Elephas maximus indicus: one gene and its partner. The protein of the gene in region 2 purifies or fractionates together with the protein of the main gene of each other region. This does not show direct contact. Links are inferred from orthologs where the notes say so. Each region holds a gene or a part of one and is shown on either strand. Other genes may lie near its edges.

Region 1 (7,479 bases), on a different chromosome or scaffold from region 2:
ATCATTTTTTTCCTTTTATCTCTGGTTTTACATTCTACAGTGACTGCTTTAAAAATTTTAACTGAAAAATTATATTATTTTGAAAAATAACTTTTGTCTTCAAAGACTGAGCACCTTGCTTTTGCTACCCTCTTTCTTCCTTCCTGGTTTTCATGACAATAATTTAGGGTTAAAAGCCCTACGATTTAAAAAAAAGAAAAAATCCTTTCACAATTTCTGTCTTTCAAATTGTTTGTTACCATAGCAACAACAATTATTTGGACTTATCAGCCTCAGTCTCTGCTGAGAGGTGTTTTTATTTACTTATTTCTCTACCTTTACATAGTTTCAAGGGTCATTGCCAGTTCTTTCTCTCTTTTCATGATTCATGTCTCAGTGACTTATTGTACAATTCTGAGCAATTTTTGCAGAAAAGGGACTTAACTGCATAGTGTATTAGTCAGAACTCTGTGGTTTCAAATGGAAGAAACATCTCAAATTGTCATCAGGAATTTATCTCCATCTCTCAACTCGACTTTTCCTTGTCACTTCTTCATTCTCAGAAGTTGTTTCTCACATCATGGCATGTTTGACCCCATATTCATAACCACTCCCCTAGCACCCAGCAGAAAGGGAGCACCTGTTTCCCAATAAAACCAAACCAGTTGCTATTGAGTCGATTCTAACTCATGGCAACCCCTTGTGCATCACAGTAGAGCTATGCTTCATGAGGTTTTCAATGGCTGATTTTTTGGAAGTAGATCACTAGGCCTTTCCTCTAAGGTGCCACTGGGTGTTATTGGAACCTCCAGCATTTCAGTTAGCAGCCAAGGGACCCTTTCCTATTAGTTTCTGCAAAAAGTCTGGGGTTGAGCGTCATTGACCAGGATCAGATCACACGCCCATCTTTTAAACCAGTGTCTATGACTCTGATTGGGGAGTCATGAGTCACACGCTTACTCTTGGAACTTAGGGGTAGTGTTAGCCTTCCAAACCACATGAGAGTGCCTAAGAGTCAGTTCACCAAAGAAAAATTCGGTTGTTGCAGCCAGGAGGAGGAATTGATGCTGAGCAGGCAAAAATAACAAATGTCCATTGTTTTTTAAGATTCTGCAGATCTGTGAATTGTCACCACTCTAGAGATATAATAAAGAAGACATTCAGATGGCTAGCCATCCATCCAAGCTAGACCTTATACTTAGATGGTGGCTTAGCATGGTCTCACAGTGTTCTAGAGCCTGGATCTCACCTTTGCACTTCAAAAATTTGTTGTTGTTGTCACCGTAGCTAGATCACTGTTCCCTCTGGGCCTGGGTCATGCTAATATAACTCAGTAACTGTATACCTAAACTCCATCTTAGAATGAATAGTAACTGCCACAGACCTGAACAGGGCTGTCTGTCCTCTGGTCAGCACATGCTCCCTGTCAGAAAAGCAGAAGTGAAGCCACTTGTGGGTTGCTTAGTGCCAATGGAACCTGGAGAAAATTAGTGTATCACAGTTGTATCATGCCATGATGGTGTGGTAGTTTAAAACATGTCCATAAATGCTGGAAGAGTACAGAGAGAGCATGCTACAGGGAGAGAGATCTGTATGTGCAAAGACCAAAAGGCAAGAGAGAAGTTAAGACTAAGCTAGCTTGACAGGAGCATCGAGGGCAGAGAGCAGAGAGTAAGAGGAGATTAGGTTGGAAGGGTGGTCAGCAAAGGCCTCACTCTGAGTGTAATGAGGAGCTATCGACTTGCTCTAAGAAGGAGAGTAACTGGTCAAATTTCTTACAGAAAGAGCTTTCTAGATAAAGTGAGGAGAAGCAATTGGAGATGGGCAACCGTGAAAGCTGGGAGAGGAACTGAAAGGCGGTTGCGATAGCCTAGGTGAGAGAGCAGAAGAGAGAGAGTATGAAGCTTTAAACAACATAGAGGCAGTGGGGATGAGGCGGCTACATTTAAAACAGTGCTTCAGAAAGTTTAATAATATGTGAACAAATCACCTGGGAGATCTTAAGATGCAGATCTTGATTCAGTAGGTCTGGGGTGGGACCTAGGATCCTGCATTTCTAACAAGCTCCCAGATAATGCTGATGTTGCTGGTCTGGAGACCACACTTTGAGTAGCAAGGATTTAAGGAACCTTAAGAAATAGAATTTACGGGAGTGTGTTACCAGTGGGATGGAGGCGTGGCGGGGAGCGGGCGGGGGAGTATTCGAAATAAGGTAGAATGAGTTGTTGAAGATAACGCCCAAACTTCCAGCTTGAGTGTCTGGATGGAAGGTGATGCTATTTGTCCACAGGCACAAGCTGAGGAACAGGTTTGGGTGGGGTTGATAATAATGACTGATAACCTTTATTGGGTACTTACCATGTGCCAGGCTGTTTACATACGTTATTTATGCTGCACAACAAATTTGTGACGTACAGGTACCTCTTAAGTGAGAAAACTAAGGCCAAGGTCCTACAGATCCTAAGTGGAGCAGTCAAGATTCAAACCCTCCGGCAGTGTGAGTACACAACTTGTGCAGTTACCCAATGGCATTTTGGATATGTGGAGCTGAAGCACCTTTCCCACGTGAGGCGTCACATCAAACTGTCCAGTGGGCAGGTGGACAGGATGACCTGAAGTTCAAAACAGATATTTTGAGCAACGGGGATATTCTGGGAGGAATTAAGGCAAAGGAGTGAAAGAAATCATCCAGGGAGGGTATGTAGGGTCACAATTTACCCCTTTGGGGGTGCTATCAATCTTATTCCTTTTTTTTTTTTTTTTTTGGCGTTAATATTGCAGAGGAGGAATCTGAAGAGAAAGTTTTTAGCTTTTTTATAACTTTGTTTTTTGATTGGATGCTGTGTTTGTTCTTTACACTTGAAATTTAAGAATTTTTCCAAATTGTCTTAGAGTTCGTTTCTGCTTATTAGTTTTTCTGAATCCCAGTGAACTCACTTCCTTTCCGCCTCAGATCTTTTCAGTTATATTAATTTATATTACCTTTTTTTTTTATTAATGCCTTTAATTGATTTGTTTGGTCTTCTTTTGGGGGATGCCTATAGTTTGAATCTCCATGATGTTCTCCACCTCCATTATTTTCCCTCTTAAAGAATTTGATTCCTGTGTTCTGTATTTTTGAAAATTTTCTTGAGCTTATCTTCTATCTTGCTGATTTGATTTTGTGCACTGTCAAGTCTATTTCTCATTGCTTTGGCTGTGTTTTTTTACTTTGGTTATTGTGGTTTGGATTTCATGGTACTCTCCATTTATCTTGGCCTGTTCTTCAAAAGATGGAATGTCCCCTTCTAATGAAGAAAAAAAACTAAGTGTTTCCTAAAATTGGGTTCTGTTTCATGGACTAAATATATTTCAAAACAGAAATTTTTGGCTTTAGCACTTTATTCCTTTTCTTGCCTGCGACAATCTTTTCTCACAGAGTTAAAAAAAATTGTTTATTCAAATTTTGAGATTGACCAGTTGATCTTTGCTGATGTGTGGAAGTCCACAGTTGGTGGCTCTTGGATTGCATGTTGGCTTGGGAAGTGATTCAGAAGCAATGGATTATCTTCTCACTGTCTTAGCTATTCTTGGCTTCTACCTGCTTCAGGATTCCAATTTTTATTTTCCAATCGCTGGTGTTTGTGACTATCTTTGAGCCTCAGTGTGTCCGTCTCATTTTCTCTAAGTCTTCATGTTTTGTTTTTAGCATTTCCATCGTTGGATGTATATTTCTGGGTGTCCGTCTACCAATCCGGGTCTCAGTCTCTAGAGGCCCAGTGTCTTTCTCTGATGTCTCAACCCCACTACTCCCTAAGCCCTTACTCTGTTTTATATTTCTCCATAGTACTTATCCCAATGTGCATATTACATATATTTGCATGCCTCTTCAGTCTAGAATATAACCTCTATGAGGGTATACTTTTTTTTTTTCAGTGCCGGATCCCCAGGAGCATGGTAGGTGTTCAACAAATATTTATTGAAGGAACCTCTGTCTGACTCGCAGATCCTCTCAGAGTCTGTCGTTTTGGTCTCACATTTGTTTTACACTTTCTCAGTATGTAAATGTCTCTTTCCATCTCGGTCAGGCCTTTCAGTTTCTGTCCTTGCGTCGAAGCCTCTAAATTTGTGTGTGGGCTACAGATTCGCGGCCTGTCCCAAGCCCGGCGATGTGTGGCGCGTCGTCGGGCCTCATGCGCTGTCCCGGGTTGTTCTCTGGTTCTGTCAGGAACCCCCGCTGCAGGGCTGTCTCTGCTCCTTAGCGTCTCTCCTCACGCTCTGTTTTGTAGGACCTCTCCCGACGCCTCCTTCTCCTTCGGCGTCTCAAGGGCCGCCTCCGGCGCGCAACTCCCCCACAGCCACACGTGACCGCGCCGGCGGCGCCTCCACAGCCGCCGCAGTGCTCCGCCCTAGCCGGTCGCTTTCGCCAGCCACGCACGCCCCGCCCCCTGGCCGCGGGGAGCCAATCCGCGCGCACGCTGCTTGGCCTCTCCCCGGCGCCCTCCTCGGCGCGCGCCCCGCCCTCCGCCCGCTCGCCTGCCCGCCCGTCAGTCAGGCAGTCGGTCTGAGCGGCCGTCGGCTCTCCAGTTCGCCTGAGCGGCGGCCTCCATCGTCCTTTACGGTCAGCGGCGGCAGCTGCACCGGCTGCAGGCGGCCCCTCCGGGAGGCGCGGCGGGAGCCGAGCGGCAGCCGCGGAGCGTCGAGTCCAGCGCGGCGGAGGCGGCGGCGGCGGCGGCGGCGGCCCGGCAGCCAACATGGCGGCGGCGGCGGCGGGCGCGGGCCCGGAGATGGTCCGCGGGCAGGTGTTCGACGTGGGGCCGCGCTACACCAACCTCTCGTACATCGGCGAGGGCGCCTACGGCATGGTGTGGTGAGTGTCCGCGCCTCCCGCGGGCCCGGCCGCCCCACCGGCGCGGACACAGCGGCGGCCTCGCCCGCCCTCGGCCTCTCGTGCCGTGGCGACCCCGACCCCGGGCTTGGTCGCGCGCCGGCCGGGGCCTGGGCCCGGGCGGGGCCTGGGCGTTGCTCACGGCGCTTATCTGGCCGGCCTTTGCTCGCCGAGAGGAGACGGGGGGCGGAGGCCTGGAGCCCTGGCCCCCCGGACCCGGCGCAGCAGCGGCTTTAAAGCCCGGTCCCCAGGGAAGGGACGAAAACGTCGCCCCTCCCTCCGTCCCTCCCCAGTTTGCTCGCCTCGTAGCCTTCTTTTTGACGTTCGATTTTAAAACCGGGAATTCCTTCCGATGCTTGTCAGTGGAGGTGGCGGTGGCCTTGAAAGCGGTTCGCCTCGGCTTGTGTGCAGAAAACCAACATAATTTATGATTTTTCTTCTCTTGCTTCAGTTTTCCACGAACGGCCTTCATGAAATATTTTCAGTGGTGCTTAATGGTGCTCTCCTGCGCAGGCTTTCTAAAAAGCATTAGTGACACCAGTGTGGGTTATGGAATATTTCAGTTCCTAAGTTTTAAAATGGATTTTGATATCGTACTGTTAGCGTTTCACGAAGGCCAAGTCAGCCTCGCCCTCTTGATCTATTAAAGAACCTTTTGGAGTTGGGCCTAATTTGACGTTTTTTTTTTCATTACCCCAAGTGCGCTCTCTTAACTGCACGAATGCATCGAGCTGTTTTAGCAAAATGACTGGGCTTTTCTCGTCAATATTTTAGCGGTCAGTATAAATATATGCAGCCTTAACGGGGTTCTCGTAGAACCACGTATAGTCAGTCTCCTTCATCTTGATCCAGATCCCTCAGAAACGTTTGTGGAATGAGAGGCTGTGTTGTTTTTATTAGCCCGAACTAGCTGTAGTGTTTTGTGCTGAGGAAGACTTGTAGAAGTGTAGCCTTCCTTACACCTAAATCTTCTTGTCTGTGTTTATGTTTGATGAAGAAAGCAAACTGGTATTTATTGAACACTTTGTGGCAGGTATTGTGCTAATTACTTTATCTCATTTTATTTGAACAGCCACCTTGAGAGGGAGGAAAAGGCAGCAGTATCCGTCTTTCATAGGAGCGCCGGTGGTGTGGTGATTAAGCACTTCGCTGCTAACAGAAAGGTTGGTGGTTCGAACCCACCAAACCCTCCAGCCACTCCACTGGAGAAATATCTGGCAGTCTGCTTCTGTAAAAATTACAGCCTTGGGAACCCTATGGGGCAGTTCTGCACTGCCTTACAGGGTCACTGTGAGTCGAAATCGACATCACACAGTGGGTTTGGGGTTTTTTTTTTGCATCCCTCTTTCAGGTGAGAATGCATTTCTAGGTAAAGTCAGTTACGAAGGTCATACAAGTAAGGTGTCAGACTTCAGATTCAGTCTGAGATCCAATTTCAAATGCTGCTGCTCTTTCCATTGCACCCTGCTTCCTTAAATAGTATTATTAATAATTTCAGAATTCTAGCATGTTTTACTGTTACCAGCAAGTCTATTTCTGAAATGTATTCAAATTTGAATGATTATAATTTTAGAAATGACATAGGGGCCATGTTTTATGAAGTTACTTAGCTAGGTAGAAAGACTAGTTAAAATTATTTCTTAAGAGACTTTATTGAATCTTGAATATCTTCATTCTCTGCAGGAGCAAAATGCTTCACAGTATATAACTGCGAAAGTTAACATGAATTCATGGGGTTAGGAGCCAAAAAAGAAATTAAATTAGGTCAGGCCTAAAAGAAATAAAAAAAAAAATAGGGCCCTATAAAGTACTGGAGTCTGCCCACAGCATTACGTCTGTGTCTGCATTTCGCTGCCATTAACACCTGCTGGTAAGTGTGCCAGTGAATGTGTCTCATGAGAGGCTCAGAATTGCCGACCACATCCTTTGGCCCTTCTTTTTAAAATTCACTCATCTAAAATGTGGACTGGAAAATCTTTACATTTCTGTTGAAAGTTATTTTTCTACCTGATAAAATTTTTATCAGTTTGAATACGATTTAACTATTTCTATCGCTGCTGTTGTCTTGTTTGACCTTCCGAGTTGTCATTCAAGTGAAATATTAAGTCCTCTTACTGTGACTTTCCTTTCCTAAGTAAAACTCAAATATAAATAGAATTTGAATCCTGGGTCTTAGCTTTTTACCTTCAGGTTGATAAAATACACTAGTGAGAATTTGATTTTCTACACAGCATATTATTAGCATATAATAAATGTTGATTAACTGTTGGGTTTGTGGAGGGTTTCTTGGTTGAAATGTTAATATTTGAATAGTGATCTTTTAAAAAACCTAATGTTCCAGAAGGATTTTTGGGTATTCTTTAGCAGTTTTTGTCATTTCCTGAGTCAGGTCATTAGGCATTGTGCCTGTTCTGTGCAGAGCCCTTTCCTAATAATTGTGTGGAGGATATAAAGATGGAAGAGTGGGATTTGAGTTGGGCCTTTAAGAGTGGGTGTGATTTTGATAGGCAGATAATAGGAGCAAGTGACAGCTTGAGCTGCAGAATCTAATCCTGGAAAAGTACTACTTAAGTGGCAAGCTGTGTAGGACTCTGAAGGCCAACTGAGTTTGACTGTAATTTTGTGTAACTGGG
Region 2 (7,066 bases):
TTAAGGGATGGAGTCATGTCTGGTGAATGGCACATGAAGGTGCTGCCACACACAGGCAAGGGGAGGGAGGAAGGGGCTGCAGGGAGATGCGTGCACAGTCACGGCTCCCCTGCCCCTTGCTGCGTGCGTTAAGGGAGAGAGTCACACCTGGCAAACGTGAACAGGGTGATGCCACCTTGAGTCAGGTAGGGGGAGGGAGGGAGAGGCTGGGGGAGCAGGACAGGACGGGACGAGACGCACAAACCACTGGGCAGGTTAAGGGATGGAGTCGCACCTAGAGGATGCATGCACAGAAGTGCTGCCTTATGCAGATTGGGGGAAGAAAGAGGGAGAAATGGGTGAGCTCTCTCACAGTCCCGCTGCCCTCCACTGGGCCCTTGGTGGGGCGAGTAGGTGGCAGGCAGGCACACCTGCGGGGGTGCACCTAGTCTTGCTCATTGGGTAGGCAATGGGGTATAGTGGGTGGGGTTAGATAGGATGGGGGAAAGAGAGTAGGCTTGTATTGTGCTTCTCCAGTCGGGCAAGGTAGTTGGTGTTTGGGACCCTCTGCCACCTCTGATCAGGAGGATGAGTTGAGGGGGAGTGCGTTCCTCCAGCTAGGATACACGGGTGCCAGGGCACCATGTGTCTGCTGCGGCCAGCGAGTGGGACCTGTCGCCTCTCAAGTTTGAGGAAGAGGGCCGCCCAGGGACCAGTTGGGTGGGAGAGCTCCCGTGGACACTCCATGGGTCCACTGCCTTGTGTGCACCACTCACCCCTGAAGTCAAGAGCTGCCACACCTGAGTATCCCAGTTCCGGATCTGGCACTCTACCTCTCTCTGCTTCTTTCTGTGTGTGTCTATAGAGGTTCTCTGTCCCTCTTGGGAAAGTTGTGAAGTTGCCTTGCTGTTTCTTCACCCAGGGTCACTGCTGGTCTTGTCCTAAGTTAGCCAGGGTGAGTCAGGATGGCTGGCTGAGCTCCTCCGTGCCGTGTTACTCCTCTTTTGCTGCTTTTCTTATTCCTTCTAATTGGTGTTCAGTTCAGTTCTTAGACCTTTTTTGATGTTCAGGGTTCCTGGATTGTTATCTGCTCCTGTTTCACTTGTTTGTTTTAGGTCTTTGGTGCAGGGGGATGTTATGGTGAGTGACTGCACCTCCATTTTGGCTCCACCTCCTGACTTTCTTTAATACCTTTCTAAAGTTGTCTTTATTGTTGTTGTTGTTAGTTGCCATCCAGTCAGCTCCAACGTATGGCAACACCATGTACAACAGAAGGAAACACTGCCTAGCCCTGTGCCATCTTTACGATTATTGGTATGTTTGAGTCCATTGTTGTGGCCACTGTATTTCAGAAGCAGGTTGCCAGGCCTTTCTTCTGAGGCACCTCTAGGTGGATTCAAACTGCCAACATTTCGGTTAATAGCTGAACACTTAACCTTTTATGCTACCCAGGGACTCATATGGCCACTGTATTTTGAGTGCCTTCCAACCTAGAGGGCTCATCTTTTAGCACTATATTGGACAATAGTCTATTGTGATACATAGGGTTTTCTGGGCTCATTTTCAGAAATAGATTGCCAGGCCTTTCTTCCTAGTCTTAGTGTAGAAGCTCCACCGAAACCTATCCACCATGGGTGATCCTGCTGGTATTTGAAATACCAGTGGCATAGCTTCCAGCATCATAGCAATACTCAAACCATCACAATACAACGAACTGACAGATGAGTGGTGGGGCTTTATATTAGTTTAATATTTAATACAGTAGTTTTTATGTCATGCAGACCACATTACCCTTCTGTCCCAATAACACTTCAGATATATAGCATTAAGTTCCAGTCATGACCCTTTGATCAGGGTCAAATTTGGATAAAAGTGATTCATGATTCCAGAGACTATGGCCCCCAGACACCCTGCTAACTCAGAAATGAAGCCACTCCTGAAGTTTACCCTTCAGCGAAAGATTAGACAGGCCTATAAAACAAACAACAGCACACGTGAGGAACGTGCCTCTTAGTTCAATCAAGTATATGAGACCAAATGGGCAACAAGTACCCGAAAACAAAGGTGAGAAGGCAGGAAGGGACAGGAAACCTGACAAATGGACACGGAAAACCCAGGGTGGAAAGGGAAAGAGGGAGAGTGCTGACACATCGCAGGGATTGTGAACAACATCACAAAACAATTTGTGTATAAATTTTTGAATGAAAAACTAATTTGCACTGTGAAATTTCACCTAAAACACAATAAATTTTTTTAAGTGATTCATGAGTCTGAAAGATATGCATGATCTAAAGCTTGAAAGGGGTGAAGAGCAAGCTTAGAACTGAGGGGTGATGGAACTGAGTGGGAGCACTCGATGGACACAGCCTGTTTTGAACCTCAAAGACGTTATCAGAAGCTGCACTGTTGTGTGTGTTACCGTTTCTTACATGGAAAAGAGGAGGGAGAGGTGTAAAGTTAGTTCATTGGGCGGGAGGTGGTATAGGAAAGGAGCCCTGGTGTCACAAATGGTTAAGCGCTCGCCACTAACCGAAACGTTGGCAGTTCGAGCCCACCCAGCGGCTTGGTGAGAGAATGACCTGGCAATCTGCTTCCGTAAAGATTACAGCCAAGAAAACCCTATGGGGCAGTTCTGCTCTGTCACATGAGATTGCTGTGTGCCAAAATCGACTTGACGGCATTTAAAAACAATAGTATGTGAAAAAGGAGAAATACCTTACCTCCATAACCCAGAAATGTCCATAAATCCATCATCCTCCTCCAAGTTCAGGCACTTTTACCCCAGCATGACTCTTCAGTCGGGCTCCTCTTTCTCCTCCCAGCTAGCTCTTTAGTTCAAGTGTTCATCATCTCCCCTTTACTAGCTTATCTATAGATAACTCCTCTCCCTCCTCATATTCTTGCCCCACTCCCTCCACCCTCCACTTTGCCCACTATTATCTCCCTAAAAAAATAAATCTCATCATCCCTGTTTTCAAAACTGCTACTGGTTCCATGTGTCCTGAGGAACCTCCTTCCTTCACCTGCTATACAAAATTCTTCCTAACCTGTTCAGTCTTCCTCTCCAGCTTCATTTCTCCTGCCGCTAAACCCACTTAACCCCACACTTTACAATAGGATATGCTTTTTGCCCTTTGCCTTCCTCACTTTCTATCTCTTTGGAATATCCTTTCCCAGTTTCTGCCCATCCTCAAGATTGTCTCCCAACGCCCCTCCTCTGGACAGCCTGCAGTCCCTTCACCCCGTCCTGGCCAGAGGCTGTTACTTTGCATAGAATTCCCGGGATCATAATACCTGTTGATGTGTCTCTTCGACAACACTAGGAAGGCAGGGCCATGTTAATTCATGCCTGGGTCCCCACCGCCTAGTGACAGGGACTGGCACAAAGTAGGATGATGGATGGGTGGGTGGGTGAATGGAAGCTGGGATAGGGAGGTGGAAAGAGAGGGGTAACCCGAGAAATGAGGAAAAGGAAGCCCGCAAAGAGCAAAGACAGACACCAGGGGGAGCTGAGACACCACCATCAAGCCGGAGGGCGGGGCAAAAAAGGCTGCACGTTCTGGGAAGAGCGGGTAAGCAGCGCGCAGTAAGGTAAGTAACGCGCAATTGTAAGCGCGCACCCACGTGTGCACCCCCCCATGCCCCTTTCCACAGCGTGCTTCCGCGCTTTCCACCGCCCGCACCACCCACCTCGCCTCCACCGCCGCTAAGAAAGCAAACAAAGGGGAGGGGACCCCTGCAGGGTCGGGATGCCGGAAGCCAATCAGAGGGCTCTCATTTCCTGGAAGGTGGGAACCTTGGTTTAGGGAAACCCAATGAGTTTCTAAGGGAATGTGGAGGGGCGGGGAGATGGGCGGGAAGGGCGGGGTGGGCGGGGCAGGGACCGTGCCCGCCGGGGAGAGCTCCGGGGAGAGGATGAGGCGGGGGCAGACCCAATCACCGCGCATGTCTGTGAGGAGAGGGCGGGCAGCGCCGCGGAGCGCGCGATCCAGGCTGACGCATCTGGTCCGGGTTCCCGGGGGGGGGCCAAAGGAGAGGGTGGAGGAGGAGAAAGAGCGGAGGGCGCGCCTGCGCAGTGGCGCGGGGAGGAGCAGGGACCTGGCAGCGAGCGAGGAGGTTGGGAGTGAGCCGCGAACCGGGCGGGCTGCGGGCGGCGGGCGTGCGCACCATGGGGGAGAAACCCGGGACCAGGTAAGGGAGGTGGAGCCACGCGGCGGGGCATGGGCGGCGGCTCGGGGCGGGTGCCGAGATAGTCCTCAGACTAGGACACCGGGGAGAGAATCCGTGGGGCCGGGCGCCTGGGTCCCTAGGGGACAGCCATCCGGGGCCGCACGCCTAGGTCCTCCAGGATAATGGGGGCGCATGCCCGGGCCCCTGTAGGAAGTCAGGACTGAAGGGGACCAGGGAAGTGGTGTCCGGGTTCTCGCAGGCATATGGGGGCCGGACGCCTGGGTTCTCTCGTGCAGGCTGCGATGCAGGAGCGGAGGAAGGAGGAGCAGGTGGCCAACCCTGAGGGGTAGTATTTGGGAAGGCTGGACGTTGGGAGGGGTGCGCCCCAGACTCGTGCAGAGCCAATAGAAAGGCTCGTGTCCAATACCCCACAGGCAGTTGTGCTGCCCCCACCTGTCCCAAGGGCCGGGTGGCTCTGCTTCCAAACTTCTGCCTTCCCTGGGTTGCTAGGAGCAACAGCTTCATCATGGGGGAGCGGAGTGCTTGGCGACCCTCCCTGATTCTGGGCCCTATCCCTTGGCCCTCGGGTGGGGGTGGGCAGTGTCTGCCCTGGGCACGCCATCCACTCCCCGGATGTTTTCTGTGCAATCGAGGCTCTTTCTCTTTACTGACACCCCGAGTTCTCTTTTTTGATCTCTAGCAAAATCCACTTCCTGTTGTGACCCAACACCCCCAAGTAGGCAGGTGTGAATCCCAGAGTCCCTGGGGACCAGGAGCAAAAGAGGAAGGGTTGGAGCTGAATATGCCTCAGCCCAGACGGGAGCAGGAATGCAGGCCAGGTGCTACCTAACCTGTCAGCTTGTTCTGTAAAATGTTTTTCAGCCCCAGCACTCCCCACCCATTGAGTATGAGAACTCAGGTTTCTGAGTATCAAGTCCACAAGAATTGGAGAGATATGATCAGGGGGAGGGAGGACTGATGTCCTGGGTAAGGACATCCACAACCCATAGAAAGGGGAAGTTGCTGACTTGAGGCCCCCAGTTTCCGTTATGTGGTTCAAGGACGGATGGACTACAGGGGGACTGCTGACTTGGCACAATTACCCCCACCCCCAGCAAATTCTGGGCCACAGGAAGTAGAGAGAATGGCAGGAAGTGCAAGAGGCATCTGCTTCTACTGCACCCCCACCTTACTGGACACCTCCCTGGTCACCCCGCACCCACCTCCTTGGCCAGCCTCAGTATACACACACTGCTCCTCCCTAGCCTGGCAGGAGGTGGCTGGGTTAGGATCCAAAGGGCAGGTGCCCCGCAGCTACTCACAGGCGATTGCTCCAGAGCCATACTCCAGTTGGCCACTTGGTTGTGGCTGTCACAGCCCTCTGCCAGGGCTCCTCATGGGAGGAAACACTTGAACAAAAAGAACAACCAGAAGCAAGTGAGGTCAAAGTGGGGGGAGAGCCTGGATGATGCCATAGCAATCAGCCCCCAAGTTGGGACTAGAGGTAGAATGCTCGTCTTAGCTGCCACCACATCTATGCTTTGTTCTCCTGGATTGGTTGGAGGTATCTGGGGCCTCCCTGCCCTTACAGCTTGGACAACTCGGCGTTTTGGGGAAGAAGGGGCAAGTGAACTTGTTATAGCAGAAACAGACAGTGGGGTTGGAGGAAGGATGGGCCTTCTGGCAGGATTTCAGCTTCCACTATCTCAGGGCCCTTTCCAGGGATAGCTGCTGAGGCCCGGTAGATTGGAAGGAGTAAAGTGGTCAGGCAAAAAACAGGCCTACAAGTGCCAAAACCAAACTTCCCTACCCTCCCAGCAAGGGCTAGAGTCCAGGCTTGTGTTGTTTCAGCAGCTGGGGGGCAAATCCCATTCAATTCAACAAACGATTAATGCCAATTACAGAGGCAGGACGGCATAGTGGTTTACTGATTAAGAGCATGGACTTGGGGCCAGACTGCTTCAGTTTGTATTTAAGTTTCACCATTTACTCTCTGTGACTTAGGTAAAACAGTTGACTGTTCTGTACCTCAGTTTCCTCACCTGTAAAATAGCGATATTAGGATTTTCATCATTGGGTTGTTGAGAGTATTAGATGAGATAAACGCATGAAACACTTCGAGCAGCACTGGGCATGGCGCCTTCACCCAATGAGTGTTAGCGAGCATCATTATCTTCATCATCTGGCTGGCATTGTGCTGGGGATGCCTAAAAGAATAAGGCCCCTAGTGCTCACAGTTTATCCAACAAGAGACAGGTGAGACACGCTTTGTGTGCTATCTCACTGCAAGTAAAGCATGAACAGTGTGACAAGAACCAAAAAAACAGAGTGACCCAGGGTCTTGACTGGGTTGCTTCCCAAAAGAGGTGACATCTGAGCTGGGTCATGAAAGATAAATGGGCTTTTAAGCTGCTGAGATCAGAGATGGGGAAAGTTGGAGGTTAATGGAGTAGGGTCAGACTTGGGTAGTTCTTATGGTGGAAGCCATTTTACGGGCAAAGCCCAGGTCCATTGCTCTTCCAAGTTGGGGCTGTCGTTGGTGCTGGGACATCTGCCCCTTTCCCCATGAGCAGGGGGAGACTAGAAAAGATGGAAAGAGGGTTAGGTGTTACTCAAACACTGCTGCAACCTGCCCATTCAGGTCCTCTGGGAAAACCTGGGTGGTTCCTGTGGCAACCAGTAACCATTAACTGTGGGGTAAGGGGGGCTACTGAGGATGGACCAAGGATAAGAGAAGGGGGATTTGCCATGGCAACCTGCTTCATGTGGTTGCGATGCTGGAAATATTAAGGAGTTGATTACCTTTTCTTCTGGGAATAATGGGAGGCGGTGGGGCTGGGCAAAGCCCCTGGGCAGGAATCCTAGGTGAGCTCTGCTTCCTGGGCTGGGAAGGGACAAAGTCCTGGTGTGGAGGTCC

What was found.
Region 1: the proteins of ARRB2 (region 2) and MAPK1 purify together in Homo sapiens (affinity purification with western blotting; 3 studies listed by BioGRID and IntAct, with this or other methods). This does not show direct contact. The link is inferred for Elephas maximus indicus from reciprocal best matches to the Homo sapiens genes ARRB2 and MAPK1.

The regions. Positions count from the first base shown.
Region 1 is NC_064840.1:20,788,736-20,796,214, forward strand, and holds the start of MAPK1 (mitogen-activated protein kinase 1), read left to right. Parts: upstream 1-4,479; 5' UTR 4,480-4,712; coding exon 4,713-4,828; intron 4,829-7,479. UniProt on the Homo sapiens protein: Serine/threonine kinase which acts as an essential component of the MAP kinase signal transduction pathway. MAPK1/ERK2 and MAPK3/ERK1 are the 2 MAPKs which play an important role in the MAPK/ERK cascade.
Region 2 is NC_064837.1:14,365,877-14,372,942, forward strand, and holds the start of ARRB2 (beta-arrestin-2), read left to right. Parts: upstream 1-4,052; 5' UTR 4,053-4,147; coding exon 4,148-4,170; intron 4,171-7,066. UniProt on the Homo sapiens protein: Functions in regulating agonist-mediated G-protein coupled receptor (GPCR) signaling by mediating both receptor desensitization and resensitization processes.